Linked DNA regions of Oryctolagus cuniculus. The protein of the gene in region 1 purifies or fractionates together with the protein of each later gene. This does not show direct contact. Links are inferred from orthologs where the notes say so. Each region holds a gene or a part of one and is shown in the gene's direction. Other genes may lie near its edges.

Evidence for each region.
Region 2: the proteins of PHLPP1 (region 1) and SUGT1 purify together in Homo sapiens (affinity purification with mass spectrometry; 5 studies listed by BioGRID and IntAct, with this or other methods). This does not show direct contact. The link is inferred for Oryctolagus cuniculus from reciprocal best matches to the Homo sapiens genes PHLPP1 and SUGT1.
Region 3: the proteins of PHLPP1 (region 1) and FKBP5 purify together in Homo sapiens (affinity purification with mass spectrometry; 4 studies listed by BioGRID and IntAct, with this or other methods). This does not show direct contact. The link is inferred for Oryctolagus cuniculus from reciprocal best matches to the Homo sapiens genes PHLPP1 and FKBP5.
Region 4: the proteins of PHLPP1 (region 1) and WDR48 purify together in Homo sapiens (affinity purification with mass spectrometry; 5 studies listed by BioGRID and IntAct, with this or other methods). This does not show direct contact. The link is inferred for Oryctolagus cuniculus from reciprocal best matches to the Homo sapiens genes PHLPP1 and WDR48.
Region 5: the proteins of PHLPP1 (region 1) and USP46 purify together in Homo sapiens (affinity purification with mass spectrometry; 7 studies listed by BioGRID and IntAct, counting the BioPlex papers as one, with this or other methods). This does not show direct contact. The link is inferred for Oryctolagus cuniculus from reciprocal best matches to the Homo sapiens genes PHLPP1 and USP46.
Region 6: the proteins of PHLPP1 (region 1) and USP12 purify together in Homo sapiens (affinity purification with mass spectrometry; 4 studies listed by BioGRID and IntAct, with this or other methods). This does not show direct contact. The link is inferred for Oryctolagus cuniculus from reciprocal best matches to the Homo sapiens genes PHLPP1 and USP12.
Region 7: the proteins of PHLPP1 (region 1) and WDR20 purify together in Homo sapiens (affinity purification with mass spectrometry; 4 studies listed by BioGRID and IntAct, with this or other methods). This does not show direct contact. The link is inferred for Oryctolagus cuniculus from reciprocal best matches to the Homo sapiens genes PHLPP1 and WDR20.

Annotation. Positions count from the first base shown.
Region 1 is NC_091441.1:15,588,033-15,591,532, reverse strand, and holds part of PHLPP1 (PH domain leucine-rich repeat-containing protein phosphatase 1), read left to right. Parts: intron 1-1,646; coding exon 1,647-1,875; intron 1,876-3,500. UniProt on the Homo sapiens protein: Protein phosphatase involved in regulation of Akt and PKC signaling.
Region 2 is NC_091440.1:60,191,185-60,195,124, reverse strand, and holds the start of SUGT1 (protein SGT1 homolog), read left to right. Parts: upstream 1-1,140; 5' UTR 1,141-1,158; intron 1,159-1,321; exon of another isoform or gene 1,322-1,457; intron 1,458-1,769; exon of another isoform or gene 1,770-1,899; 5' UTR 1,900-2,024; coding exon 2,025-2,062; intron 2,063-2,162; coding exon 2,163-2,223; intron 2,224-3,940. UniProt on the Homo sapiens protein: May play a role in ubiquitination and subsequent proteasomal degradation of target proteins.
Region 3 is NC_091436.1:133,767,754-133,772,033, forward strand, and holds the start of FKBP5 (peptidyl-prolyl cis-trans isomerase FKBP5), read left to right. Parts: upstream 1-1,480; 5' UTR 1,481-1,645; intron 1,646-4,280. UniProt on the Homo sapiens protein: Immunophilin protein with PPIase and co-chaperone activities. Component of unligated steroid receptors heterocomplexes through interaction with heat-shock protein 90 (HSP90).
Region 4 is NC_091441.1:108,252,463-108,255,962, reverse strand, and holds part of WDR48 (WD repeat-containing protein 48), read left to right. Parts: intron 1-631; coding exon 632-719; intron 720-3,036; coding exon 3,037-3,113; intron 3,114-3,500. UniProt on the Homo sapiens protein: Regulator of deubiquitinating complexes, which acts as a strong activator of USP1, USP12 and USP46. Enhances the USP1-mediated deubiquitination of FANCD2; USP1 being almost inactive by itself.
Region 5 is NC_091439.1:110,974,036-110,978,196, forward strand, and holds the start of USP46 (ubiquitin carboxyl-terminal hydrolase 46), read left to right. Parts: upstream 1-1,361; 5' UTR 1,362-1,512; coding exon 1,513-1,548; intron 1,549-4,161. UniProt on the Homo sapiens protein: Deubiquitinating enzyme that plays a role in behavior, possibly by regulating GABA action. May act by mediating the deubiquitination of GAD1/GAD67.
Region 6 is NC_091440.1:87,334,965-87,339,149, forward strand, and holds the start of USP12 (ubiquitin carboxyl-terminal hydrolase 12), read left to right. Parts: upstream 1-1,385; 5' UTR 1,386-1,831; coding exon 1,832-1,879; exon of another isoform or gene 1,880-4,185. UniProt on the Homo sapiens protein: Deubiquitinating enzyme that plays various roles in the regulation of the immune response and inflammation.
Region 7 is NC_091451.1:45,449,689-45,453,188, forward strand, and holds part of WDR20 (WD repeat-containing protein 20), read left to right. Parts: intron 1-549; coding exon of another isoform or gene 550-601; intron 602-2,334; coding exon 2,335-2,517; intron 2,518-3,500. UniProt on the Homo sapiens protein: Regulator of deubiquitinating complexes. Activates deubiquitinating activity of complexes containing USP12. Anchors at the base of the ubiquitin-contacting loop of USP12 and remotely modulates the catalytic center of the enzyme.

The DNA of each region.
Region 1 (3,500 bases):
AGGAAGTTGCTTTTTCTCAGGGAGTAGGAGAAATACCTACTGAGGAATGTTGTTTCAGGCAACATTGAGAGCTTTACCTAAGTCATGAATAGTTCTTCTTAAAGAGCTCAGCAGAGGCAGGCCCATGTAGTTCTTTATGGCTGGGCTCGCCTATCTTGCAGATTCCCAGTGGTCATATACTTTTAGCAATGGGATGACGATAATAGCTAAGAGATAGTGAGTCCTCAATCTGCACAGTCATTGCTCTAAATACCTCACACACTTCCCCTAGGGATAGTAATATTGTACTTATTTCACTGGAGAGAAACTGAGGTTACAGATACAAGGCAAAGGGCTGTAAGAGCTAGTAATTGGTGTGGCCAACATTTCTCTCCAGCAGTAAGAATGCAGAGAGTGTTTGAACTACCAGGCAGGTCAACTTTGCAGTTTTTACTATTCTTGTCCTAAAAGAAACACACATGTCACACACAGCACAGACACGCATGCCATGCACGCATACCCTCCACGATCCCCAAAGAAGTCTCCTTTTTGTAGTCTATCAAGTTCTAAATAAGAATTAGAAACAGAACCTGAAACTCAGATCACTGTACTTTCACAAGTCACCATGCCTTTGGAAAGAGAGAACAGAGCTGCCTGGGAAAGGTCTAAAACCACACTGAGTCCTGGTATCTGGGAATCTCTTGTGTGCCTCCTGTGATCCATATTTGTTAAGAAGAGGCTGCAGGGTGAGTGATGAGCTTTTTGGTGCTTAGAAGAATGGAATGTTCTTTGTTCCTGAACTAACACATGGGAGTAGGCAGCCCATGTTTCCCAGCACCCTGAAGCACTCCATGGTTGCTGACAGTGCCTAAGACTGCTCTTGTCACACAGGGGAGCCTATTTTTTCTTAACTGTGTTACTCCTCTACCACTCAGAATAGCAGGTCCTGGGAAGTATCACCATTTGTTGGTGACAGTTCTTTGCTTCTATTGATTTTCAAAGTTTGCAGATATGTCATGTATTCAGTACGTCTGCAGATCAGTGGCCATGAGAAAAGGATAAATCCTAAGCACGTGGTGTTTGATTACAAGAACATTCTTTCTGTGAATCTTCTAGAATAGATAGTACTGGTCCCAAAAGTCTTGTTATAGGGCAGGAATAGGGACAAGTTTAGAACCGAAAGGTTCATGCCAGTGAACACGCTGGTGTTCAGGTTACTGTGAAGCACAGATATTAGTGGGTGTGGTGTGCTAACTGTTGTTACTTTACTGCTCCTTTGAGTTTTCCTCTCCTGGGAGCAGAGGGAATTTAGAGAAGTGGGTGGAGCATTGAGCAGCTGTCCTGCCATCTTTCGAGTGTGCTGATAGGGCAGTGTCGTTGACATGGACGTGGCAAGCTAGACACAGCAATCCAGGGGCTCCATCTTTCCAGACTGGCTCCTATGACTTCTAATGGTAAAGTCACCTCTCCCCTGTTTGTGAGCAGACGCCTGTCAGTTTGGGTGTGTCAGGGGCTCTCTTCCTCTGCGAAGTTGAGTGGTGCCTGTAGGGCATACTTTGATGAACAAGGCTGATTTTCCTGAATCCCTGGGTCCGACTCCCTCCGGCCCAGTAGGACCAGGGGTGCAGTCCTCCTGATAAATGAACAGAACTCTTTCTGGATTCCAGGAAACTTGGAACTGCTGGGCAGAAGCTCGGAGGTTCTGCTGTCCTTTGCCATATCAAGCATGACCCTGTGGACCCAGGTGGTTCCTTCACCTTGACCTCTGCCAATGTGGGCAAGTGCCAAACAGTGCTCTGTCGCAATGGGAAGCCGCTGCCTCTGTCCAGATCTTACGTCATGAGCTGTGAGGAAGAACTGAAGAGGATTAAACAGCACAAGGCCATCATCACTGAGGTGAGGAGGGAGATTTTCCTCAGAATGTTGGGCAGGAGCGGGCCAGGTCATAGCAGAGACCAGTTAGGGAGCAGCTGCCTTCAAAGAACATTTTTGAAGTTGGTTTAAAATTAGAGCTCCAGATCCGTGTCATGGAGCAAATTCCTTGTCCGTTGTGTCCAGAGACATTTGCTGCAGAGGAAGATAAAACATTTCTCTGTGTCGGTCAGGGACTTGGCAGCATGGCTGATGGGCATCACCCCCATTTGACCCTCACAGCCCCTTTGTGCAGCACTGGGTTAGGGATTGAGAACTGTACCCCTGAAATCACACTGCTGGATCACATAGCTATGCTCTGCCCCGAGTGGGCTATTGCCTTGAAGCTCTGTAGGCCCTGGTGTTCTCATACGTAGAGTGGCAATAGTGATGCATCTCTATCTGTCCCATCTTCCAAGGGATGTGTAACTTCTAAACGGTGAATGTCTGTTTACATATAACTAGTTATTTTGTTCATACCTTGTATTCCATTGGAGTAATACAGCAAGTGGCTCTCACCTGGAGGCAGTTTTGTCTCCACACCATGGGACATTTGGCAGCATCTGGACGTGTGTTTGGTCCTCACAGCTGGGGCTGAGTGTGCAGTTGACATCTAGTAGGCAGAGGCCAGGACGCTGCTAAATCCCACAGTACACAAGACAGTCCCCACATCAGAGACGTCTCTGGCCCAGAATGTTAGTAGTGTCGCTGTTGAGAAACCCTGCAGAGGGTCTGTATTATAATAAGGTTCATGGCCAGTAAGCCATCCAGAAGGGTCCAGAAGCTCTCCTCCATTCACTGAGGCATCGCCTACGATGTCAGTCACCTGCCGTGTGGGTGAACAATGTGGGGCATAGCAGTGATGTGAGGGGCCGTCCGGTCCTGCCTGGTTGAGAGAACCCTATGTGGTTGGAGGTAGCCATTGGTGAAAGTTTGTAGTCTGGCAGAGAAAAGGACAGATTCTAGGTATAAAGGCCATAAGGTTTAAGATGTACTATAAATGTCTGTGGAAGTGAGTACATTTTAGTTCTCTGCCTGTTCCAGGAGCAGAGAAGATTAAATAAATAGTAGACACTTTTAGGGAGCAGTCAGTCTAATGTGGTACAGGGTATATTGAATTAAAGACTCAATCTTGGGCCTTATGTGATTCAGGGTAAGTGATCGAAACACAATACACAAAACCGTCGGTTCTTGGGGGGAAATCTAAAGGATGGTCAGAATGGCAAGGGGAGTTTTTGCCAGATTCCACACTTTGGGGAAAAGTTACAATAGCAGAATCCAGGAAGTTTAAAAGTGTGCTTGATGCTCTGCTTTGCTAACGTTATCTGTAAGAATGCTACCTGCTTGTAACTGGCATGGCCAGCTGTGTGAGGAGCTGGGGGCGGCACCCCTAGAACCAGCAAACGCCTTGCAACATCCCAAGTAAAGGAGTGTCGTAGGGCAGGAAAGGACGAGGATGCTCTCTGGAAGCAACAGCGGTTCGATAGATAGTCACTAGGTGTGCAGTGGAGCCTTCTCTGCAAAGGTGTTAAAGCTAGAGGCATGAAGAGGCACCCTATGGACCTGAAGACCTCAGACTCGAAGAGTAAAGAACTGACAGGTGCACAGGG
Region 2 (3,940 bases), on another chromosome or scaffold:
CTTCTGGCTTTCCCACATGGGTGCAGGGGCCCAAGCACTTTGGCCATCTTCTACTGCTTTCCCAGGCCACAGCAGAGAGGTGGAGAAGCCAGGACTCGAACCAGTGCCCACAGGGTATACTGGCACTGCAGGTGGCGGATTTACCCACTCTGCCACAGCACTGGCCCCCAAAGAGCTTTTAAAAGACAGGAAGATGGAAGGAGACAGGGCTCCCACCTGCAGTTCACTCCCCAAATGGCTTTAAGGTCTAACATAGCGTCAAAGCTGGGCCTGGAGAACTTAATCCACGTCTCAGTGGGTAGCAGGAACCAAAGCACTGCATGCATCACGGGCTGCCTCCCGGAGTCTGCATTAGTCAGTAGGAATCTGGAGACAGGACCCCGACCCATTATGGAACGCAGATACTCAGCCCATGGGGATTCAGGACTCTTAAGTCAGCATCTCAACTATAGGCCAAAATATCAGGCCCCTGCAATCCTTTCCGTTGACCAGGAAGCCCAGAATTTTACTTCAGATATCCTGTAACGGGACCCTCCTCTCCATCCCTAAAATGTCACCACCTATCTCAGATTTATTTATTTGACCCATGTTTCAAGTTACCTCCCAACAACTTTCCTCTTTAATCTTCCACGATGAGAGTGATAACACCTAAAACATGCAAATCTGGCGGAATTCCCTTTCGTAATTAAAAATCTTAACAACACTCAAGCAGTTGAGTATACCGCAAGCAGCCCTTTATGACCTAGCACTTAACCTACCTCTCCAGCCCTATGGTTTTTTTTTTTTAACGTGAATTTAAGCTCTAGAAACTTGGGAGCTCACTAGGTTTTCAAACACATCCTATTTTCTGTCTGAATTGCCTTTCCACATCGTTCATCAACTAATCGGAGGCACGGCTCGAGTATGACATCTTTCAGGAAGCCATCTCCACATCTCATATTCAGTTAAGTGCTCCCTCTTAGACGCATCAGATTTAGTGTAAGCTCCTTGAGGACATTAACATCTTTAAATCCTGGGGATTGGTGCGAGTTTAGATAGAGCACTGACACTAAAGCTCAGTTCTGTATCTTGACTGACAGAGCCACTCACTTTCAGCCCTTCCTGCTCCTCCTGGACACCCACCCGTCCCGTGGAGCTCGATGGAAACTTCAGGAACAAGTCTGCATACGTCAAAGTGTGGGTCGCGGGGGCTGGGGGTAATGGCGCTGCTGTCTATGGGAGCAAACAGCAGAAGCCACACAAGTTCAGGTCACTTTCCCTTCAGTGGCTTGTAGGAAAGGTCCCCGCCCACCTCCCGCCCGCCTTGGTCTGGGAAACTCACTAGAAAGCAAGCCTGCGCTGTGGGGCTCTAGGGAATGTACACTGGCAAACTGGCATCAGTGCATCTACCCGGGAACCAGAAGCTTCTCTTCCCTCTAGGCCCTGTAAGGGCTGTACGACTTCCGGCGAGTCCCGGCGCGTTAGCGTCTCATCGCAACGATCGCGGGAATCAAAGCAACATCCGGGACTTTGCTCCCGGAAACGATCGCGCAAGCCTCGAATGACGTTAAGGGTCACGAAAGGCTTGGTTGCCTAAGGCAGCCATTATGAGAGTGTAGCTTACTATGACTTGTTCACGGGCAGCAAAAGCCTCCCTCCCAACTCCAATCGGCACACATTCCTGAGGGGCAACAGTACGTCATAAAATGGTTTTGACCTAGTGCTCCTGAAGACTGTTGGAGCGCATGCGCAACGCACGCGATGGACGAGACGGCGGACTGGACAATTGAGGCCTCCGTAGGCAGGGCTGTGAGGGGCGGGACTGTGAGAGCTGGTCACGGGACCGCGGGTCAGGCCCGCAGAATGGGTCCTCCACCTTCCCAGCCAGCCCTGCGCTGCTTGTCGCCTCCCCTCCCCTAGCTGCACGCTGCGTGGCTGCTCGTTGGCTACTTAGGACGGAAGCTCGGTTGGTGTTTCTCCAGAAGTTTCCCCCTTGGGCGGCGGCGGAGCGGTAGCCGCGGTAGCAGCAGCAACGACTATCAGGGATGGCGGCGGCTGCAGGAGGACCTGCAGCAGCCCAGAGGTGCGTGGCGTTTCGTTTTATTTTTTTTTTCCTCCCTTTACTATGTATTTAATATCCTTGCCTTGGTTAGTGAGCCCTGCTTAAGTCGTTCTTTTCCTAGCAGGGTTGCCCAGACCTTCCCAGATGCGGTGATCGACGAGGACCCCCAGGCGGCGTTAGAGGTGAGGGATCCCGTTTCTGCCTTCTCCGTTCTCCTGAGGGGAATGGGACTGCGTCGGGTTCTGGCTGACCCCGCCTCTTCCTAGCGCTACCTTCCCGGGATCGGGGCTGCTGCTTTTACTGTGTCTCAGCCCCTTGTGTTGGGATCCTTGGTCCCACAGTGGACCCCTCGCATCCCTGTTCTTGCCCTTCGCGCTCCCAGACGCCCCCATTCCCACAGCTTCTTCCGAACACAACCTGTGTTTTACTTCGTGGGAGCAAGAGAAGTGAAATCTGGACTTGGTATTAGTTGATTTAGTTTCCTATTTGATACTCATCCTTGCTGTTCTGTACCGGGCCCTATGGTAAGGGTCCGTGAACGGAACAAAAACCTTTAACTCGTGCCCTTGAAACTTTCCAGATGTCTTATCACTGTTGATTATTCACTCGTTTGTTGATTCATCAAAAAATTTTTTTAGAGTTGGTTGTGTGCAAGGCACGGATTGCTATGGGTTAAAGTCTTACCTTATGTATTTAAGAAAGCACGTTGTGTTTTTGTGCAGTTGGAAGAGGCGTTATATAGCTGAAAAGGGATATGAAAGAGTGGGAGTTAATAATAGAGAGAACCTGAGCTGAGGTGCCATGGGTCACAAAATTTAGCCGGGACGTTTCTTTTAAGCACAGGAGAGGAAATTGTTACATTGTTACTCTTGAACATAACAATTTGAGGCTAGAGAATCGTTTTCCCAACTGTGACTTCTAAAAGAACTTTGCCGCTAAGTACCAGAGTCTTTCCCCGGAGTTGAAACTTGACCCAGACCTGAAGCATCAAAGGAATGAGCTTGGAAGCTCTAGGGGAAGGAACGTTCTAGGCAGAAAGAAGAGCCTGTGATAGGAATAAGTTGGTCTATTCCAGGAGGCAAATAGACCAATCTGATTATAGTGGGATGAAAGAAGAAGAGGTAAGGTGGGACTGGAAACCAGGGCCAGATCAGGCAATGGTTTTTTTTTTTTTTGCATCCACGATAGTAATAATGTTACTGGAAGCTTGGAGAATTTTTTTTCCCATAATTTCTTATGTTAGCTTATTTTCTGAATATACATTTGTGATAGTCCTGTTAGGCCCATTGCTTTCTTTACAAATCCAGGCTATATAAAAGTTGCCTTTAAAAGATACAGGCCGGCGCCGCGGCTCACTAGGCTAATCCTCCGCCTTGCGGCGCCGGCACACCGGGTTCTAGTCCTGGTCGGGGTGCCGGATTCTGTCCCGGTTGCTCCTCTTCCAGTCCAGCTCTCTGCTATGGCCTGGGAGTGCTGTGGAGGATGGCCCAAGTGCTTGGGCCCTGCACCCTCATGAGAGACCAGGAGAAGCTCCTGGCTTCGGATCAGTGCCGTGCGCTGGCCGCAGTGGCCATTGGAGGGTGAACCAACGGCAAAGGAAGACCTTTCTGTCTGTCTCTCTCACTGTCCACTCTGCCTGTCAAAAAAAAAAATAATAATTACATAATGAATTCCATTGTCACATTACATCTTTCTTTAGCTTTTAAAGTTTTTGTTGATGTATGATATCTGTAGATAACAGGTCTTAATAACTTGATGAATTTTTACATGTATACACTACCTAGATCAAGAGAGAGAACCTCTCCATCCATAGAGCTCCTTCCCTCACTCTCCAGTTGACTCCTTGTCAGACTTCCATCACCATCAGTTAGTTTTACTTGTTCTTGCATTCATAAACAG
Region 3 (4,280 bases), on another chromosome or scaffold:
ATCCTCTGCCTCTCCCAGGAAAAGAATCCTGGGACCCCTCCTTCCCGGGAGCCCTCCACGCTGCCCTGTGCAGATCCCATCTCAGCCCCTGCCGGGTGAAGAACACTCAGATGTTCAACGTGATGTCCCTGTGTCCTAAAGTGAAGTTCTTGGAGCTGAGGCAATTCCTCCTCACTGCTGCATAGCCAGCACATAGCATGGTGCTGAATACTTGCTGTTTTTTAAGCATGGTAGATGCCTGCTGAATCAGTGTTAATATGCAGAGTAGTTTTGATCGACACTATCTGAATTAATGCATGAATAAATGGTTTCAGTGACTCTCCCTGGCAAAAAAGAGACGCTTCTAGACACTGAGGACCAATGACTGAGATAAGGATCCTTGAGGAGGTCTCAGGGTTGACTCTATTTGCCTTTTCTACAGATATCACTTTTTATTTCTATTTATTGGAGAGGGAGGGAGGCAGGGAGAGAAAGAGAGAGCAAGCCAGTACATTCCTGGACCAGGAACTGAAAGTAGGTCTTCCAGGTGAGTGTCGAGGACCCAACCCCTTAAGCCATCATTGCTGCTGCCTCCCAAGGTCTGTATTAGCAGGAAGCTGGAATTGGGAGGGAAGCCCTTGCCAGGTATGGATCCTACCACTCCTGGGGGACCTGGTGCCTTAACCTCTCCGCCAAATGCCACCAACTTTCTACCCACCTCCAAATCTTGAAGCACCAGGCAGCATGGTGACTGGTTTATGGGAAGGGCCTTTTACAAAGACTTCAGTGTGACAGTGTGCAAAGCCAGGAGACACGGGTTCTAATCTGATTAGGGGACATCAGATTACCATAGGCAACTATCATGTCCCATAGGTCCCCAGTTTGAGACTTCAGGTTTCTGTTTCTTCAAAAATGATGGGGCTGAGCTAAAGATTCCCTAAGGCCCCCCGCCGCCCCTGCACCCCCCCCCCCGGGGGGGGACAGCGTGGGGGCCGCAGGGTTCTCACGGTCCCTGGGTATCCAAGGGAGGTGCCGCGTGCTCACCTGGTTCTTGAGGCGGGATGTTCTCGGGTCCGACCTAGCATCTCTAGCTTCCCGAGTTAGTGTCCTGGAGCTAACCTGGACTGCTAATCTAACGCAAACAGCCCGACCTGACCCCTCTCCCGCCACAGACCAGGCCCGCAGGACAGACAGACACGGTACGGCAGTGGGGTCAACGATCTTGCTTGGGCGTTAGTTTCTGTGGAGGGAAGGGCTGATGTGAGGGGGTGTCGGTCAGCTTCCTCCATCCATTTTCTCCAGCCCCCACAAAGGGCAAGGGCCAGACACGTGGGCTAGTGTGGGGGGGCGGAGATGCAAATAAACGTGGGCGGGGCCTTATTTGCATGGACCGCGCGCGGCCACCAATCCGGACACGCGGAGCGACAGCCCGCGCGCCTTTTGGGGGCGGACTGACAGCCCCGGGGCCCTATGGAAGGGGGGTCCTGCGGCCGGCGGGGGCGGGACCATGCCGGGCGCTGCCCTGGGGATTCGGGCCGGCTCGCGGGCGCTGCCAGTCTCGGACTGCGGTGTCCGGCGCGCGGGCTGCCTGCTGGGCGGGCTGAGGGGCGAGCGGCGCGCGGGCGAGGCGGAGAGAGCAGGAGCTGGCCAGGCACTGTGGAGACAGGTACCGGCGCCATGGCCGCAGGGATGAGGTGGGGCGGCCGCGGGGTCCCGAGAGCCCAATTCTCTCTTTTCAGGTTCTGCCGCTGCCCCTCACGCGGCTCCCCAGCCCGGGAGGGAGTGGCGCGAGGGGCTGCAAGTCCACGAGGTGAGCGCCCGGGGGGCTCCCAGCCCGACTGCGGGGGCCGCCGGGCCGAGGCTCCCTCCGGGGGGCCGCGGGAGCCGCTCTCCGCCCGCGCCGCGCTCCCCCTCCCGGTCGCGCCCGCTCGCCCTCACTCGGCTTTTGTTTCCCGCCCGGGGTGACAGGTCCCGGCTCCGGCTGTCGTCGGCGGACCCGGACTCGCCCGAGGCCCGGCGCTGCGGGACCCTCGGAGAAGCCGGGCGGCGCCCGAGCAGCCGCAGCCGCGGGCCGGAGCGCAACTTGGCCTTCCGGGACCGGGGCGGCCGGAGGCCTGGAGCCCGGGGCTGAGACGAGCGCCAGGACGCCGCGGGCGCGATGGAGACTCGCTCACCTGGCGGGCCCGCGGAGGGCGAGGATAACGGAGCGCCCCGGCCGCGCGCGGGGTGGCCGCCCGCTGGGTGTGGACGCGGGCGTGCCCCGCCGTCACCTGCCGCCCTGGCGCTCGTGCCTGGGAGCCGCACGGCCCCTCGGCGGGGTGCGGGCGCCGCGCCGCGCTCACAGGTGACCCGCACTCTGCGGTGCGGGCCGAGAGTTGCGGCCGGGGTGGGTCCTGGGACGCTTGCGGCTCCGTCCGCCCGCCTTGCCGGCCGTCCCGGGAGGCGTGCGCCCCGGACGGCTTGCAGAAGCCGCGTGCAGGACCCGGGCGCTGCAGGCTGCCTGCTCCGGGCGCAGCCGCCCTGTGCGGGGCGGCTTCGGCGGCGGCGGCGACGGCTCGGGCAGGTACAGCCTGGAAGGGGAGCGCGCAGAGCCCCGCTGCCCTCCGCGGGCCGCCGTGCAGTCCGTGGTTTTGGATTCGCTTTCTGGGCTGTGCTTTCCAGGGGAGTGAGGCGTAGCTCTGAATGGGAGCTTTCTTCGCTCTCTGACCTGGACTGTTTGCTTTCATTGTCTCCCCGCCTTGTTCGATGGGGGACCCGGGAAGAGTTAGGGCGGATTCGGGGTAGGGGTTTGCAGCCCCCCTGCCCCCGCGTTGGGGGTCTTTGCTTTAGAGAGTCAGAGGAGCTGCCTCTCTCGGGATGGGAGTCAAACTCCAAGGGTCGACCTGAAAAAAGGCCTTACCCTGGTGGGAGCTTTTTGTCCTGTCGTACTTTCCCTTAGCGTTTCCGTTTGTGTGTCTGCCTCCCGACCCCTGCCTAACCCGCCACACTTAGCCCTGACCAACCTGGGCATGCTATACAATTGTATTTCTAAAATTAGGTCACTTGTGAGACACACGGGATCTGGTGTGCTCGGTTTTTATGTTTTAAAGCGTCTTGTTTGATGCACATAGTGGATATGTTTGACTGCCTAGGAGCAGCGTTATTAACTTTGATTTAATTTGCTTATTTACCTTGCTAATTAGAATTATGTAACAGTTAATAAGAGGTCAGAACTCTTCAGCCAAAGTTGTGACTACTTCAGTGTAAAAAAAAAATAAAGATGATCTTTATAAATTGTTTTATTTCTCTGAAGCAATAAACTTAGATAACGGGGGTCTTTAAAAGTTCACAGAAATGCATATTATGAAGAAACTGTGTCTGGATTTCAGAATGTTTTGTACTGAAATAAATTCATCTTTTAATTCCACTTTTCCGTGAACTTTTTGAACTTCCCACGTATGTTGTAAGGGCTTTGTCTTTCCAGCATTTTGTAAAACAGGTATGTTTTTTGGAATCTTTAACTTTTTTTATTTATGGGAAATTTGAGTGCATTTCTTTTTTTTAAAACAATTGTTATCAGTTCAACATGAAAAACTTAATGAATTAGGCAACTAATTAAGTCTTTAATTTTCTGTTTACTCTTGAATTGGAAAAAGAATCCATGTTTCAGGCTTTTTAGTTTCCTGCAGGCTTCTCTACTTAGAATGGATTAGTCCGGAGAAGAACATCCTCTTTGTACACCCGCAGAAGTTATTGCTGTACAAGCTGAGCTGGCTTTCGGATGCTTAGGAAGGGTAGAAAGAACAGTGGCTTGTCCTCACATAGAATGGGTTTTGCCTTTACAAAGTTATAAAGGACTTTATGACACTTGGGCTTTCATTGTCTCTCGTTATTTATTTAATTGCTCTTTAGTGTAAAGGAATACATTTAAGTGCTGTGCTGTTAGAGCGTTGATTGTCCTTATCCTGTGATGGTGCTTTAATATGCCAAATATCGTCAAGTTATGTCTCGTAAGTTTGTTTCCACAAAAGTATATTTTAGGTACTTTAATTATGAACGTACCTTAAAATTAAAACCTATTTTAAAATTCAGTTTTTGCATATTTTAACTACTGAATTTTGTTCACTTTAATTTATCAAGCACATTTTATCTTCAAAATTAAGCACAAGCTGAATTCTCACAATAAACACTGGCAGGTTTTTTTTTTTTTTTTAAGCAGTTACCCTCAGGTACGGCTCCTTTTGATTGGGGGCTGGTGGTGCGAGTGGTAAATATTTTTAAGTGAATAACTTCACAAAAAAACAAGGACTTTAGCTAAATCC
Region 4 (3,500 bases), about 93 Mb from region 1:
GGAGCAGCCCCCGCGTTCTGTGAGGTGACGCCCCGTCTCTGGGCAGCTCCCGGGTGGCTTCTGCAGGAAACTCACCTCCTCTCGCTTTGCCGGGGTCAGGAGCGGCTGACAGCTCCGGAAGTCCCCGAGCAGCTTCAGAGCGTCCCAGTGGGGCACCTCCCGCAGGCGGGATGGGAACTGTTGCGGCCAGCACTGGCCCCATGGGTGGTGGCCAGCAGCCCTTGCTAGGGGCCACAGGGAAGGCCTGACCCGGCTCGCCTCCAGGTGGCCAGCAAGGCCCTTGTCTTCCGTAGGTGCCAGAGGAAGAAAAAGGCTTTTCTTGCTCTTGAGCATAGATTTGCTTCATTTATGGTTTCCTGAGAGTGACTAGCAGGCCCTGCGCTGTGCTCTGCAGCCCTGGCGGGGGACCGCACCTCGGCACCTGGCGCACCCGCGGGCCCCCGTCGTCACCCCGGGGCTCAGCGCGCAGGCCGCCATGGTTGCCGAGCCAGTCACTGCGCCTGGTTACACAGTATGTCCCCCACTCTCCGCTGGGGTGCTCTCCAGTGCGCTCTGCCGTCCCCTCCCGCAGTGGGTGTGGACAGTGGTTTTGTCATGTGCTGTGTCACTCACTCCCTGTTGTTGTGTGTAGGCTGCTCTGCCGGGACTCCGGGGGCGAGACTGAGTCCATGCTGCTCAATGAGACAGTGCCGCAATGGGTAATTGACATCACCGTGGACGTAAGTGGCCTCCCCGCCCACCTTCCCCTGCTGTTTTTGTTTGTTTGTTTGTTTGTTTGTTTTTTTCCAAATCATGAAATGAAGAAGTGCTTTAGACAGTGTTATCTTGAACTTTAATAAAAGCTAGACTGCCGAAGTGGAATCCTTCCCTGCCTGCCTGCAGTTCCCAAGTTGCAGAAGTATTGATAATTATTTGTTTTTTGTTTTTAATTATAAAAATAATACATCTTTTTCATTAAAATACTGAGTGAATGCAGTGAAAGTCCTGTCTCTTTCCCAATCACTCCTTCTCACCCCTTCACCCCCTGACCCTCCTCCCAGAGGTAAGAGCTAGGAATGATGAATGCATAGCCTTCAGTATTTTTTTCCTTGCACACACAAGCATATATTATTTGTGTGTATATTTTTCTGTGCAGCTCATTTTATTTTGCACAAGATCCTTTATACATACTGTTCTGCAACTTTTTTTTTTTTCCATTTAAAGCATATCTTGGCTACCTCCTCATGTCTGTGGACATGTGGGTCATCCCCCTTTAGTGATTGCAAAGTGTTCCATTGTAGGAATTCCATGCTGTATTTAGTCAGTCCCCTGTTGACACACATTTGGTGGTTTCCAATGTTTTCTGTTACAAACAGTGCTGCAGTGAACATCCTTGTACATGTATCTTTGTGTACTTTTTAGGATAAATTCCTAGAAGTGGAATTGCTGGATCAAAGGCTATGCGCATTTTCACTTTTGATATCTTTGCCAAATTGCCCTCCACAGACATGGTAGAGTTTACACGCTCACCAGCGGTGTGTGAGTGGCCCTTTCCCCACACCCACACCACCGTGGGACACTGCTAACCTCGCTGAGAGATAGGCAGATGTTTGGCGTTGCTTCCACGTGGATTTCTGGGTCCGTTCTGAGTGAGACGGAGTGTCTTTTCACAGCGGCCGTGATACCTCTTCTGTGAAGTGCCTGCTCCCGTTCCGCACCCATTTTCCTTTGAGATCTCTTGTCTTTCCTAATGATTTGTAGGAATTCTCTGTATTGAATATTAACCCTTTGACTGTTACCTCCATCTTTCAGTTGAATTTTTACTTTGTTCATGGTGTCTCTGGCCAGGTGAAAAGCTGTGATTTTTTTTTTTTTTTTTTTTTTTTTTACCTAGTCAAATTGAGCCTTCCTGGCTCTGAGCTGCATGACTTGTGTAGGTATTTCCACTCCACAAAGTAGCACAAGTGTTCTCTCCTCTCTTCTCTTCGAGTACCTTTGTGATAATGTTTATGTCCAGATCTTTATTCTTTGATATGAGGTATGATTCTGCTTTCCAGAAGGGGTAGCCAGTGTGGCAGCACAGCTAATTAAATTATCTATCCTTTTTTCTACTGATCTGAAGTGCAGTCTTTTGTTACGTACTAAATTTCTATACACAAGGGTCCGTTTCTAGACTCCCTTATGTACTGTTAACCTGTTTTGTATATTCCTAAAGCCATATGAAAAGAGATTTAATCTCCAGAACCTTTAGGAAGTGTGTTTTCTGTCCCAAATAATATCTCCAAGAACACAGAGCCAGTGTGACAGCTGGTGGACACTGCATAGTCTTCTCCATGTCTGAGCTCCCTGGAAAGCACTCCTCCCGTCAGGACACACTGGCAACTCCAGGCCTCGGGCTTCTTCCTGAGAGGAGACAGGTGCACAGGGTACACCAGGGAGGCTCGGAGAGGATCATGACCCTGAGAAAAGATGACCCTGAAAATGTTTTCATCTAAGTATGCGGTGGCCGCTAGGCTGTTGGCTGAAGTTTCCCTGCTTTCTTAAAACCTCCGACCTTGCTCTGATGGCAGAGGGAAAAGAGGAGAGGGCCTGCTTGGCCGTGGCGTTGGCCGATGGGCCTCACCCCTGCGGAGCGCCTGGCTTTGCTCAGGGTCAGTTTGTGGGTTTCTCTCACGACACCTGAGTTTCCGTTTGGGACTTTAGGTATCAGCCCATGTTTTACACTGTTGAGAGTTTGGTTTGTGTGGCTTAAAAAAATTAAAGTTATTTTTTTCTTCACTTTAGTACCTTGTACTGTTACTTAAGAGCCATACTATAATTTTATATTACCACTGAAATGACATGTAGTTTACGTATCTTTTGTTTCAAAACTCAATGTCATACTTTTCTGATAAATTTTCTCCAAGGCTGACTTAGATGTATTAGCTTACTTCTAAATTTCATGAAAAACCACTTTTAATTAAAAGTAATTATTACTTGAAAATCATGTTTTCCTATTGACAGCATTTTATCAGCTAATAGAAACTGTTATGCTTTTTTTAACTTTTAATATTTCAGAAAAATATGCCCAAATTCAACAAAATTCCTTTCTACCTCCAACCTCATGCATCTTCAGGAGCAAAAACCTTAAAAAAGTAAGTTCCTGTGATTTCACTTGGTCCTTGATGTAGTTAATTACTGATGAGCGTTGATTTCCCTATGGTTACTTTTATAGCAAAGGAGGCAAGGTGGAAGGCTGACTTTATGACACTGAGGAATCCTCTCTTCCCATAACCCGCAGATCAGGATAAACCTGCATGCCATGACTGCTTTAATGGATACTTAGGGAATAAGGAGAGTGGGGGAAGTGAGTCTGACCAGAGCTTTTCAGAAAGGCTTTTTGAAGGACTTGGGGTTTGTGCTGGACATGAGCGAATGGGTAGAACTTCAGAAGATGGCTACTCCAGGGGACGTGGTGTGGGCGGGGACGTGAGGACTGTGTACCTGCAGCGTGGGAGGGAGGGGAGCCGGCAAGGCAGTGA
Region 5 (4,161 bases), on another chromosome or scaffold:
TTTCCGGTTTTGACCTGTGACCACCAACCTCGAGCAAGCTTCAAACGTATTTAATCATTCGTGAGGCTGACAGGATCTGTGTTCAACTGATTGGTTGTGTTATGTCATTCACTGCCTGGGCTTCACTCTGGCTGTTTCGAATCTGCGGCAGGCTAATTTTTAAGAGATAACCTGGTATGGTCTGCAAATGATGTTATAAATTTCCAAATGGCTCCCCACCCTGTCCCATGTTACTGAGCTGCAACAGGAGGGGGGGATCGCACCCAGCAGGTGACGGAAGGTCACAGAAAAAGGTGCTGAGGACTGACGATGGGGAATCAGCAAAGTGGGCTCATCCGGATCTATTTGTAAATAAGATTCAGGTAGAGCGATTTAACATAAGTGGAGATACTAATCCTTAAATCCCTTGAAAAATAGGGTGATGACTTGCCCCCCCCCCGCCCCCAACCTTCAATCCCTACTGGGTCCTAGGGATGTTAGCCTCAGTGGCTCGGAACCTCACCCGCATAACCCCACGTCTTCCGATGAGCTCATCCTTGGTTGGATAAAAGTTGTCCTCCATTATACTAATTTCTCTTCTAATTCCATTTTCCATTTGCATACATTGCTTTCGGAATCTGTCACGCGCTCCACTCACGGGATGGTAGCCCTGTGTGTAGAAGTTGCTCACGTCTGGAGACCACACCTGCCAAGCTGTGCGCTGAGAGCCACAAGTTACGACCCCAGAGGTGGACCGGGTGCGCCGACAGCGCCCACCTCGAAACCTAAGCGCTGGGTCTCCCTGGCAGGGGTGCGTCTTCCTTGAGGAACTGGCAAAGTCCTGTTCTGGCTGCTTCCACCCCTGCACGGTCCCTGCCCCCTGCCCCCTGCCCGGCACCGGACTCCTCCTTGGTACCTGCACCACCTGAGCGCACGCATCCTGGCCCTGCCCGCCCTTCCCGGGCGCAAGGCCCGGCCGTGCTGGCCACGGCTTTCTGACCACTGTCCTGTCCTGACCCCATTTTCCACCCTGGGTCCCCGCCGGTGTCGTGCGACAGGAGAAAGGAAAAGTTGGACGTGGTCACTTTGACCCCACCCCCGGCCCGGCCCCAGCTCGGAACCCCGGGGCTGCGGGGGCGGGAGGGAGACCCGCGACCAGCAGGCGGCCTAGGGCGTCCCCAGCGCCGCGCGCTGCCCGGGCACACAGGCGGGGCCCGCGCTCCGCGAGGCCTGGCCGCGCGCTCCGGCCCGCAGCGAGCGCGCCGGGGGCCCCCCGCGCGAGGCGGGGGAGGCGGCGGCGGGCGGGGCGCGCGGCGGCGGCGCGGACCCACGCGCTCGGGCCGCCCCTCCTCCCGCGCGCGCCCCGCCCCCGCCGCCGCCTCCCGGCCCCCGCCCTCCCGGCCTCCTCTCCCGGCCGAGCTGGAAGCCGGACCCAGGCCGCCGGGCCCGGCCTCGCCGCGCGCGCCCGCCATGGCCCGTGCCGTTCTCCCCTGGTAAAGATGGCGGTGCGCGCTCGCCGCCACCTTTAGACCCATGACTGTCCGCAACATCGCCTCCATCTGTAATATGGTGAGTGCCGCCGCGCCGGGCCACTAAGGGGACCCGAGCCGCGCGCACGCCGGCGCCGGGGCGCGGGCCAGGGCGCGGGGCCCCGCCGGAAGTTCCCGGCCGGGCCGGGCGCGCGGCCGAAGCCACCCCCACCCTGGGACCTGTGAGACCGGGGACCCGGGGCCGCACCGCCGTGCCCCCACCTCGGGTTGCGGTGGAAGCGTCGGGGGCCGGGAGGCAGCGACGCCCCGGGGCAGGGCTGCGGGCGAGGAAGCCCCGCTGTGCCCCCGCGCCGCCCCCTCTGGGTCCGAGTTCAGCCCTTGGGCTTCGCCTGAATCCACTTTGCAGCGGCAGTCGGTGGTGGTCTGCAGAAACCTGCCGTGTGATGGAGCTGTGGAAAAAGTGCGGTTGGGGAAGTGAACTTCAACCTGGCCTGGGAAGGCGCCGCGGTGGTGGGGTCTCATGCCGCGGTTTCCCCGTCTCTGCAGAGGGGGGCGGGGACCTGGACGGGCAGGAGGGCTCCGGGCTGCCCTGCCTGATCCCCCGCGGGCCACCGGCTGCTGGCTGGCGTGCACCCGGCCAGGGGCTCTGCAGTGGGCCCTGACGGGGGTCTGGGGCCGTGGCCTGGTGGGGACTGTAGTTTCTGTTTCTCCCATTGCTTTCTGCAGCAGCAGCTCCCACTGAGTCCCCAGAGCCAGCCCTGCCCGTCTTCCCCTTGTCATAGCCCTGGGGAGCCCGGCTTGGGGTCAGGATGAGTGTGTGTCTGCATGCTCCTGCCCCTTGCCTGGCCTTCCCCGGCTGCAACGCGTGCTCCTGGGGTGCCACTTTGAGGCCGGGACCCCGAGGAGGCTGGGGGTGAGGTGTGCCGGCCGCCCCTCCTCCATCTCGGGCTCTTCTCTGCTTCTGCCCCACATTCTGTTGCAAGAGCCACACCGGCAGAGGAGCACGGAGAAGCCTTGTGTTAGCTCAGGGGCGGCTTCGGCTCTTAGCTCCGTGGGACTTGGCCACACTTGGCCGGGTGAAGGCTGGGGCGTCCCGGAGTGACAGCGGCACAGGTGTTGACATGGGGTGGGCTCCGTGGGGGGCTCCTGTCTCCTCTCCCTTCCTCTCTTTTTCCACGAGGAAGCGGGTTTCCTGCTTTTTGTCGAGTGGCGTGAACGCAGCTTGGTGCCGCTGGAGGAGATGTTTTCTCCTCGCTTCCCCTCGGCTGCTGCCAGTCCTGAAGCCACAGCCGCCGAATGCCTGCCTTCGGGCCTGCCGAGTAGCCAGGCTGGCCCTGAAACCCTGGTGCTGTTGACACCGCTCAGTGTGGAAGCAGCTTGGGGGACGCCGGCCTCCAGCTGCACCGCGGGCTTCTAGCGCACCTGGCTCCCGTGAAACACGCCAGGGAGAGGAGCCGCAGGAGGACAGGACAGGCAGGGGGGTGGCAGGCCCTTGCTGTGTCCGCGAGTGGGACCCCCGTGTGTGCAGCCCTGAAAGCCTGGCGGACCGAGGAGCTGCGCGCAGGCCAGGGGAGTTTTCTGTTCGCACGCCGGTCCTGTGTGTGGGGCGCGTGAGGCAGTTTCCGCTCTCAAGGCCTTGCCACTGCTGCTTCTAACTTAACGCCTCCCGGTCTTGGGGACAAGTTGCTCTTCTTTCCTTATCTTCAGTAAAGGGAGGATACTGGCTCTTACCTCATCCGGACAGTCGTGGCCGGCGCCTCACTGGGGTGCTGGGGCCGCTAGCAGTTGAGGTCAGCACCATCCTTCTCGGACAGGCCTGCGGTGGTTTTGGGCACTGGGGAGATGATGCATGGATACTGACAGCCCACCTGCTGCTTGGTGCAGGCCAGGGGAGGGCGGTGTGTGCAGAGGCTGCTCGGGGACCCCGCCCCTCCCAGCTGGCCTCCCACACATACCTGGAGTGGGCTGGGGATGAGGGGACTGCTGTGTTGCCACCCCATCAGACCTAAATGTTCTTTACACCCTCTTTAGAGGCTTTCCTCAGTGTGAACTGTTTCCAGCGCTGTCTTCTGGCTGGCTCCTCCCAGGGCTCAGCTTCTCTCTGGGGGCTCGAACTGGCCCTGCCCCTCCCAGGTCCACACACTCCCAGCTGTTTGAGTCGTTGTAGTAAGAGCCCGGGGGATTGCATTTTCATTTTTTATTTATTTCTTTTTAAAGCAATTTTTATTTTTTTAAAATATTTATTTGAGAGGCAGAGAGATGGATCTTCCATCCACTAGTTCACTCCCTAGAGGGTTGCAGTGGCCACAGCTGGGCTGATTTGAAGCCGGGACTGGGTCTCCTATATGGGCGCAGGGGTGCAATCAATTGGGCCATCCTCTGCTGCTTTCCCAGGCGATTAGCAGGAAGCTAGATCGGACAGAAGTGGAGCAGCTGGGACTTGAACTGGTGCCCGCATGCTATGCTGGTGCTGCAGGTGGAGGCCTAACCCACTATGCCACAGCGCTGGCCCCTATTTCTTTTTTTTTTTTTCTAAGATTTACTTATTTATTATTAAAAGAGTAAACACAGAGAGAGGGAGGGACAGAGAGAGATTTTTCCACCCTGTGGTTTACTTAAATGGCTGCAAGGCTGGGTACCAGGAACTCCATCTATGTCCCTGATGTGGGTGCAGGGGCCCAAGCACTTCTGT
Region 6 (4,185 bases), on another chromosome or scaffold:
TGTTTCAGTTTTACAAAGAGCTTTCTTGTGCCTAGCAAAAGTTGACTTTGTGTACAGTTGACTCTTGGGGGTTCTTCTGAATACGTAAGTTACAGAATATACCCAGATAGCTTCAGGACCCAAGCAAGGAAATGAGCTGGGGCTGAAGCTCGTCTATTTGGTCAGCACAGTGCTTTTTGTTTGAGCAGATAAGCCATTGCGAGGCTCTGCAGTTAGGAACCATGACATTCATTGGGAATTCAGCTGTCTCCTACATGGCGTCCAGGGGCTGGGAGATGCTGGGAGGGGTAGAGGACTTGCCTCTTGGCTTCCCTCCCTAGGCTTGACATGAATGCACAGAGGTGAAAACACGGCCTTAGCCACTAACCCGGCATCAAGGGCAGGAGGGAGAGTGCCTAGCCTCGCAGAAGGCAGGCACGGGAGAACGAGGCTGGCTACCTTGGCACGCGGCTGCACCCACTCGGCATTTCTTCACTCCCAAGCAAGCTTATAACAGAATCACTATGGAAACAGCATTCACGTAGCAGAAATCCATTCTTCATCCAAACGTAGCTCGCTTTGTTTTGGTGTTCGAAGGCTTTGAATCTATACCTAATTTTAGAGGTCGGCCTGAATTCGGGCCTTTAGCCCTGCTGAAATGCTGGAACCCCAGAAAAGCACCCCGTCACTAGTTCAGCTGTCAAACAATCACATCCAAAGCTACCCGACCCACCTGAAGTCCTTTCTTAAATAAAAGAAAACAAAACTGAGCTGCCAGACACGAAGAGCAGGGTGCATGTACGAATTTTTAGAAAAGTAGCATAAAAAAGGAGCTATCATCCCACTAACTAACCCTGCTTAAGTATGAATCTCTGACATTTTGCTGGGCTCACTTTCCTTGTTCCCGTGACACCATCATCACTGTCGGGCTGAGACCCTCTCCACTTCGCAGCTCAATTTGCCGATCATTAGAAACATTCTAAATTTACAGCGACAGGTTGACAAGCAGGCAGGCAGGTAGGGCTCGCTCCCTTCCCCTCCCCCACTACTTACCCTTCCTTTTAATTCAAACATACTGTGTTTATTGCCTCGCTTTTAAGTAGCTAGCCTTTTTGTAAGCTACAGCGTTTGCACCCAAATTCTGAACAAAGAAACAAACCTAGCGCTTGAGACTAGCCCCGGGATAGCTTCACTGTACAAGAGCAGCTTTTCTCTCTCTCCACACACAATTTTCCGAATCCTGCTCCAGGATTCGCCCAGCGGCAGCCGCCGCGGCTCCACCCGGTTCAGCGCCCGCAGCCCGGGCTCTGCGGCCCTCAGGCTCTAGGACCGCGCGGGACGCGGGCAGGAGGCGCGCCCGCCCTGGGCTCCGCCCCCGGCCGCGCGCCGGGAGGGGCTGGGCCCGAGTCCCCGGGCTCGCGCTCCGGCGCCGGGGCCGCGCGCGGGGCGGTCCGAGCGCGAGCGGGGCGGTGCCGCGGGGCCGCGCAGCTGCCGGGCATTAGGGCCTCGGCGGAGCCCGCTCCCCAGCGCACTGGGCGGGGTGTGCGGCGGCAGGCTTCGCGGGCAGGCGCGGGCCCCGAGGCAGCGGCTGCGCCCTGCGCCGGGGCGGAGCCGGGGGCGGGCGGGCGGCCGGCAGGCGGGGGCTGGGGCCCGAGGCAGGGAGTGCCTGAGCGCCGGCGGCGACGACGGCAGCGGCGGCCCAGCAGGCTCGGTGCGTGGGTCTGCGGCGGCTCGGGGGTCCGCCCGCGGGCTGCGGTGCGAGCGGGCGGCCCGGCTTCCCTCCTCCCCCGCCCGCCGCCGCCGCCGCTGCTGCCGCCGCCGCTGTGATTGGGTAGAAGATGGCGCTGGGCGGATGGAAATCCTAATGACAGTCTCCAAATTCGCCTCCATCTGTACCATGGTAGGTGCGGCGCGGGCGGCCCGGGACTCCTCGGACGGGCGGACGGCCCTGCTCGCCGTCCCTCAGCTCCGCTGGCGGGGGCCTGGCGCGGGGGCGGGCGGCCCGGGCGGGGGCGGTTGGACGGCGCGCGGGCGGGGAGCGCGGGCGATTAGCGGCCCCCGCGGCCGAGGAGGCGCCCCGCGGGCCGGGCTGCGAGGGGCGATCGCCGTGCTGGACGTGGCCAGGGGGCTGGGGGCGGCCACCGGCCTTGGCGAGCCCGGGCCGCCCTGCTCCGGTCTCTGCTGGGCGCAGCCGGCCTGTGGGAGCGCGGCGGCGGGCTGGGGGTCGCAGGGGCAGGGCCGCGGGGCCGCGCCGTCTCCGTTTCCGTGTGGCCGGGCGTCGGCGGCGGGGGCGGGGGTCTGCGGGCAGGAAGGAAGGGTCTCGGCCGGCCGGGCTGGGCAGGCTCGCTGCTGCCCAGGCGAGGACGGAAGTCAAGTGTAGGTTTGCTTCTGGTGGCTGTGGCCAGGCAGAAGTGCGACCCCGTGCCAGGGGCGCCGTGAGTGTGAGTGTAGGTGGAAACTTTAAGTAAGTGGCGTGGCCGTTCTCTGCGTTTTCTGCTCGCCCAGAGGAACCCCGTTTCCAGCGTGTGTCCAGGTGTCAGGCTTGGCCCCGGCATCCACTTTAATCTCGGAAAAGCAGCTTTCCTCTCATTTGCTCACTTTAATCCCCCAGGCGCATCTGTGTGCAGCGGCCAGCGTCCCGTTGCGGGGCTGACTGCAAGGGCGGTGGTATTTGTTTCATTAGGGCCTTTTGAACAGACTTCAAGGGAGAAGTGCGGATGCGCCTTCGGAGTCTCCAGTTAAGCTTTCTGAGTGCATGTAGAACTTGGTGTTTCTGTGCCTGGCCCGAAGGACCACATTTTTCCACATGATGGGGCAACTTCCTTTCATTAGCTCCTTAAGAGCTTATATGTCGGGATCGTAATTTATGAGTCATCGCCCAAAAAAGTTATTCTTTCCTACGTGAGCCTGGTGGTTATGGTACTGAAGACTTGTGAAGTCTTTTGTTCCTGGTCTCACGAGCTCTTTTTCACGCGTCGCAATTCCTAAGAGATCCCGGGGCAGCCTTGCACCTAATGTCTCCCTACTTTGAGCAGTTAGGTCGCAGAGATGCTTGTAAGAGGCAGTTTCTCTCCTGGGTGTTGAGGAATAATTTCAAAATATGGCCGAAATCAGGTGGGCTTAAAATCTACCCTGGACAAGGAAGAAGTCATGTGGAAGAATGAGTCATTGAAGAATCCCTTTCCCCAAACGGGTGTTTGTTCTTTCTCACGATTTACATTTGAGGAACGCATTGGTGAAGGGACTCTATTAAAATGATTTCCAAGGTTGGTGTGAGCTCGTTATTTGTAGACACGCCAGTTATTATCTGTCGATTTCAAAGTGAATGTGATAATTAAGTCTTTGACAGTGATAATTTTGCCAAATGGCTGAGTGTGCACCTCGTGGGGTCATAGTTCATTGTCAAAGGCTAGGGTTTCAGGATTGGGTGATCCTCTTTACTGTTCATTCATGTGCTAAAAACTGTGCTGAGTGCTGGGGATCCCATAGTTTCTGCTTTCATGGTGTTTACCTTCTAGTCGAGGGAGGCAGACACTATTCAAGTCTCTCTGTCTCTGTGTGTGTGTGTGTGTGTGTGTGTATTTGCTGAAGTCACATCAGGAAAACGAGGCACAGAGCTTTGCAAGGTCATACATTATGTCAGTGGCATTCTGATCTGAAGAATGTCAGACTGTGAGGCTCTTTCTAGGGTTTCCACCCAGTACATTAATTGCAGATTGGTGCACTTATTGTTGGCAAAATGTCCATGCCTGGCCAAGTGAGGCTGTTCCAAAGGTGCTATTAAAATTGGGTGTGTCTTTATTCATATTTGAATAAATTCTAATGGCCTCCCAAATAGTACTGAATTTCTGGAAGTAGGTTATAAGTTATTCTTTAAATGCAGCTGTCAAGCATCTTGTGAGAATTACAAAACTGAAAATCCAGAACAGCGAAGTTACTTATCTCTATGCTGTTTTTGCCAGACTGGGAACACCCTACCGTGTCCTTGTGTGGCAAGTGTGTACCTGTCTCTGTTACACAGGTAGCCTTCCTTGAATAACCCTGCCCCTGTCCAAAACCACCCCTCCCCATTCCTCATCATAGAAATTCACAGAGTTTTTGTAATCTCAGTAGCATTTACCATACTGTCTTGTAGAGTTTCCTCATCTCTTGTTAGGTTGGGAGGGCTTTCAGGAGAAGGACTATAATTTATTTATGCTGTTTTAT
Region 7 (3,500 bases), on another chromosome or scaffold:
GTACCAATCCAAGCCAAGAGCCAGGTGCTTCTCCTGGTCTCCCATGCAGGTGCAGGGCCCAAGCACTTGGGCCATCCTCCGCTGCCCTCCCGGGCCACAGCAGAGAGCTGGACTAGAAGAGGAGCAACCGGGACAGAACCAGTGCCCCGACCGGGACTAGAACCCGGGGTGCCGGCACCACAGGCGGAGGATTAGCCTAGTGAGCTGCGGCGTTGGCCTAATCGTTCATATTTCAAATTGGATTTTTATGCTCTAGCTGCCAGTTGTATCGTATTTTATGTTTTTAGCTCCTTTTTACATGACCTGGTATCTTCTTTGTTCTGAGATGTCTTGCTTATGTTGTTCAGCTAGCCTAGAATCCCCTCTCCCTGCCTTACGCTCAAGGAGGAGCCACTGCCGCGGGCAGCCTGTGCATGGTTCATGGCTCCTCTGCTTCAGCCTTCACCCTGCCCAGGCCCAAAGTCAGGACGCCCCTTTGTTTTGTGTCATACTTTATATTACACTTTTCACGGCTCTTTCATGTATATATTCTCTTATTTCATCCTCCAGACAATCCCATGAGGTTGGTAGAACAGAGATTCTCATCTCCATTTTGACTGAGGTGAGGCTGGGAGAGTGTCCGCATGGCGTGTAACCTCATTCCTGTGCCCTGGGCCAAGTGCTCCGGGCTTGAGTTTGCTCAGAGATGCTTGTAATCTTGAGGTCCTTTCTTCTACTCAGTATGTATATTTGTTTGAAAATCAACTATTAGAACACTTGGCACAATGTCACAGGCCTCTTTGGAAGAAAGAAATCTTCAGAACTTCATGGAGGGGTGGTCATAGAGAACTAGAGGGTGAACCCCACCGTGGCACCCAGGGCAGAGAGGATGTCTTGGCATAATCACTGATGGGAACTGTCTCCACGCGTGGTCTTCACACGCAAGCAGGAGGGGGTGGGTTCCCCTTACTTAACAGTAGCAGCCCAAAATGTTCATTAGTCATGAGGAAGGGAATCTTTCTTGCTCAAAGGAGGGGACATGTTGAAAATAATTTTTATTTTTTAAGTTGCAGAGCCATGTGTTTTTTTATTTTTTATTTACTCATTTTAAAGGATTTATTTATTTGAAAGGCAGAGCAACAGAGAAAGAGACATGGATGGAGGGGAGGGGGCAGAGAGAGAGAGAATCTTCCATCCATTGGTTCACTCTCAAAATGACCACAACAGCTAGAGCTGGGCCAGGCCAAAGCCAGAACCAGGAGCTTCATTCGAGTCTCCCATGTGGGTGGCAGGGGCCCAAGCACTTGAGCCATCACCTGCTCCCCTCAGGGTGTTCATTCGCAGGAAGTGGGGGTCAGGTGTGGAGCCAGGACTCAAACCCAGTACTTCAGTACAGGATGCAGGTATCCCAAACAGCAAGGTAACTGCTGCGCCAAGTGCCCATCCCCCCAGATTATTTTTAACCCAAGTCAGAAATTACTTACTTTTGACTTTGGGGTGTGCGGGTATGTGTTTCTCCCCATTCCCTTTATGGGCAAACAGAACTGGGTTTCAAATGCCAGTTACTAAATAGGTATTGCCGACAGTGGCCAAGTTAACTTCTCCAAATGTATTTGCTCACTGGTAAATTGGGGGAAATACTGTCTGCACTGACAGATTACTGTGAAGATTAAATGTGCGTGCAAAGCACTTGAGTGTAGGCTCAGTAAGTGGAAGTTCCCTGAAAGCTAACACAGAAGAGGGATTGTGGCCCGGAGAGGGAACCGCCTGTGTACGGTTGGCCCAGCAGTGGTCGTCAGACTCACCTGGAAGGCTTTTAAACTGCAGCTTGTTGGGCCCAGCCCGTAGTTTCTGAGACACAGGGTCTGTGGTGCGGCTTGAGAATCTGCTTCCCAAGTCTCCAGGTGGTGCTGCTCTGCTGCTGCTGGTCTGGCGGCCACACTGGAACACTGGGCTGCAGGTAGCTCACCCGTGGGCGTGTAGGTGTCACAGCCGTGTCTGAGAGCGGACCTGTTCCGTGTAGAGTTCCTCTGTTAGGAAAGTGCTTGGAATGCATCCTGAAAATACCGAATGTAGTATCTGAGATTCCCCGACCCCTAAAACCAGAAGTCTTTGTCACAGGAGATAAGCTGTGATTTTTAACAGTTATAAACATAGTATAGCAACATCTAATTGGCTAAGGTATGTGAAAGTGTTTTTGTAATATGTGAGACAAATGTTAAGTCATAACTGAAATTTTTTAAATAACATTGTTTTTAAGATTGAACATCATAATGGAGTATAAAATAGTATAACTTAGATTTCTCCTATGTCAATGTACTGTTTACCGTATGTATTTTTCTCTTTCTCCTCCAGGCTGCTGACTTGAGTAAACCAATAGATAAAAGGATATACAAAGGAACACAGCCTACTTGTCATGACTTCAACCACCTCACAGCCACAGCAGAAAGTGTCTCTCTCCTAGTGGGCTTTTCCGCAGGCCAAGTCCAGCTTATAGACCCAATCAAAAAAGAAACTAGCAAACTATTTAATGAGGAAGTAAGTAGCACCCTGTCTCAGCTGTTAAAGAATCCCTTTAAGAATTTATACATTCTTACCAAGGATAGTGGACCTTGTTTTGTGCTTCAAGCTAAGCCCATGTTTTATTTGCTCGGCTGTCCTGTGTAGTGTTAGCCCCAGTTTCAATGTGGTGGATTAGTAGTGACCTCTGCCTGTTCTCCCTTGGGGTGACTGTTCCATGCATTTTTATGGAGTGTGTGCAGGTATCCATACTGGGGATTTAAAACCCTTCTGTAACAGGTAGAAATGATTATAACTTGATACTCGTAATTTAATTAAAACTATAGAATTCCCAGTGTTCACGTCACCAGAATAATTCCGTGCAGACTAAGAATCTGACAATTTCTATAGGCTGCTGCGGTTGCAGCTGAAGCTTTCTTGTGGTTGTGCACGCGCGGTTCGACAGGCATTTGACTAAGCAGCAGTTCTCTAACTCTGGGAAATATTCGCTGTAAAATCACCTTGGGCATAGTTAGAAATCCTGGCACTTAAAACTGGATCACATGACATAGATTTTGCCAGCTGTAGTATGTGTTAAGGTTTCCAGTTTCTTCGGTTTCATTCTGGAAGGAACCTGAGATAGCCATCAGTTCAGGAACATGTCAGAACTTAAACGCGCCAGACAGAATTTGCCAAAGGGATTAGTATTTGCAACAGTGATTGGAGCGGCTTTTCTCCCCAGCTGTCGCCATCACATATTTGATGTTCCTGCTCCTCTCTCAGTACAACTTCCCTGCGATTGGGAAGGATAAAGCGGGTTTCCTGAATGAGAAGCCCTGGATTCTAGTCTCTCCTGTGACTTCGGCCCTCATATGCATGGGTCGGGTTCTATGAGACCCCGTTCAGAAAGAACAGTGGTTTTGAACTGTTGCATGGCTTTAACGTCATTAAGGTAGAACAGAAGCACATCGTAGAGTCTGGTTTTTAAGAAACAACCTTTTTTGGGGAAGAATATCAAACTT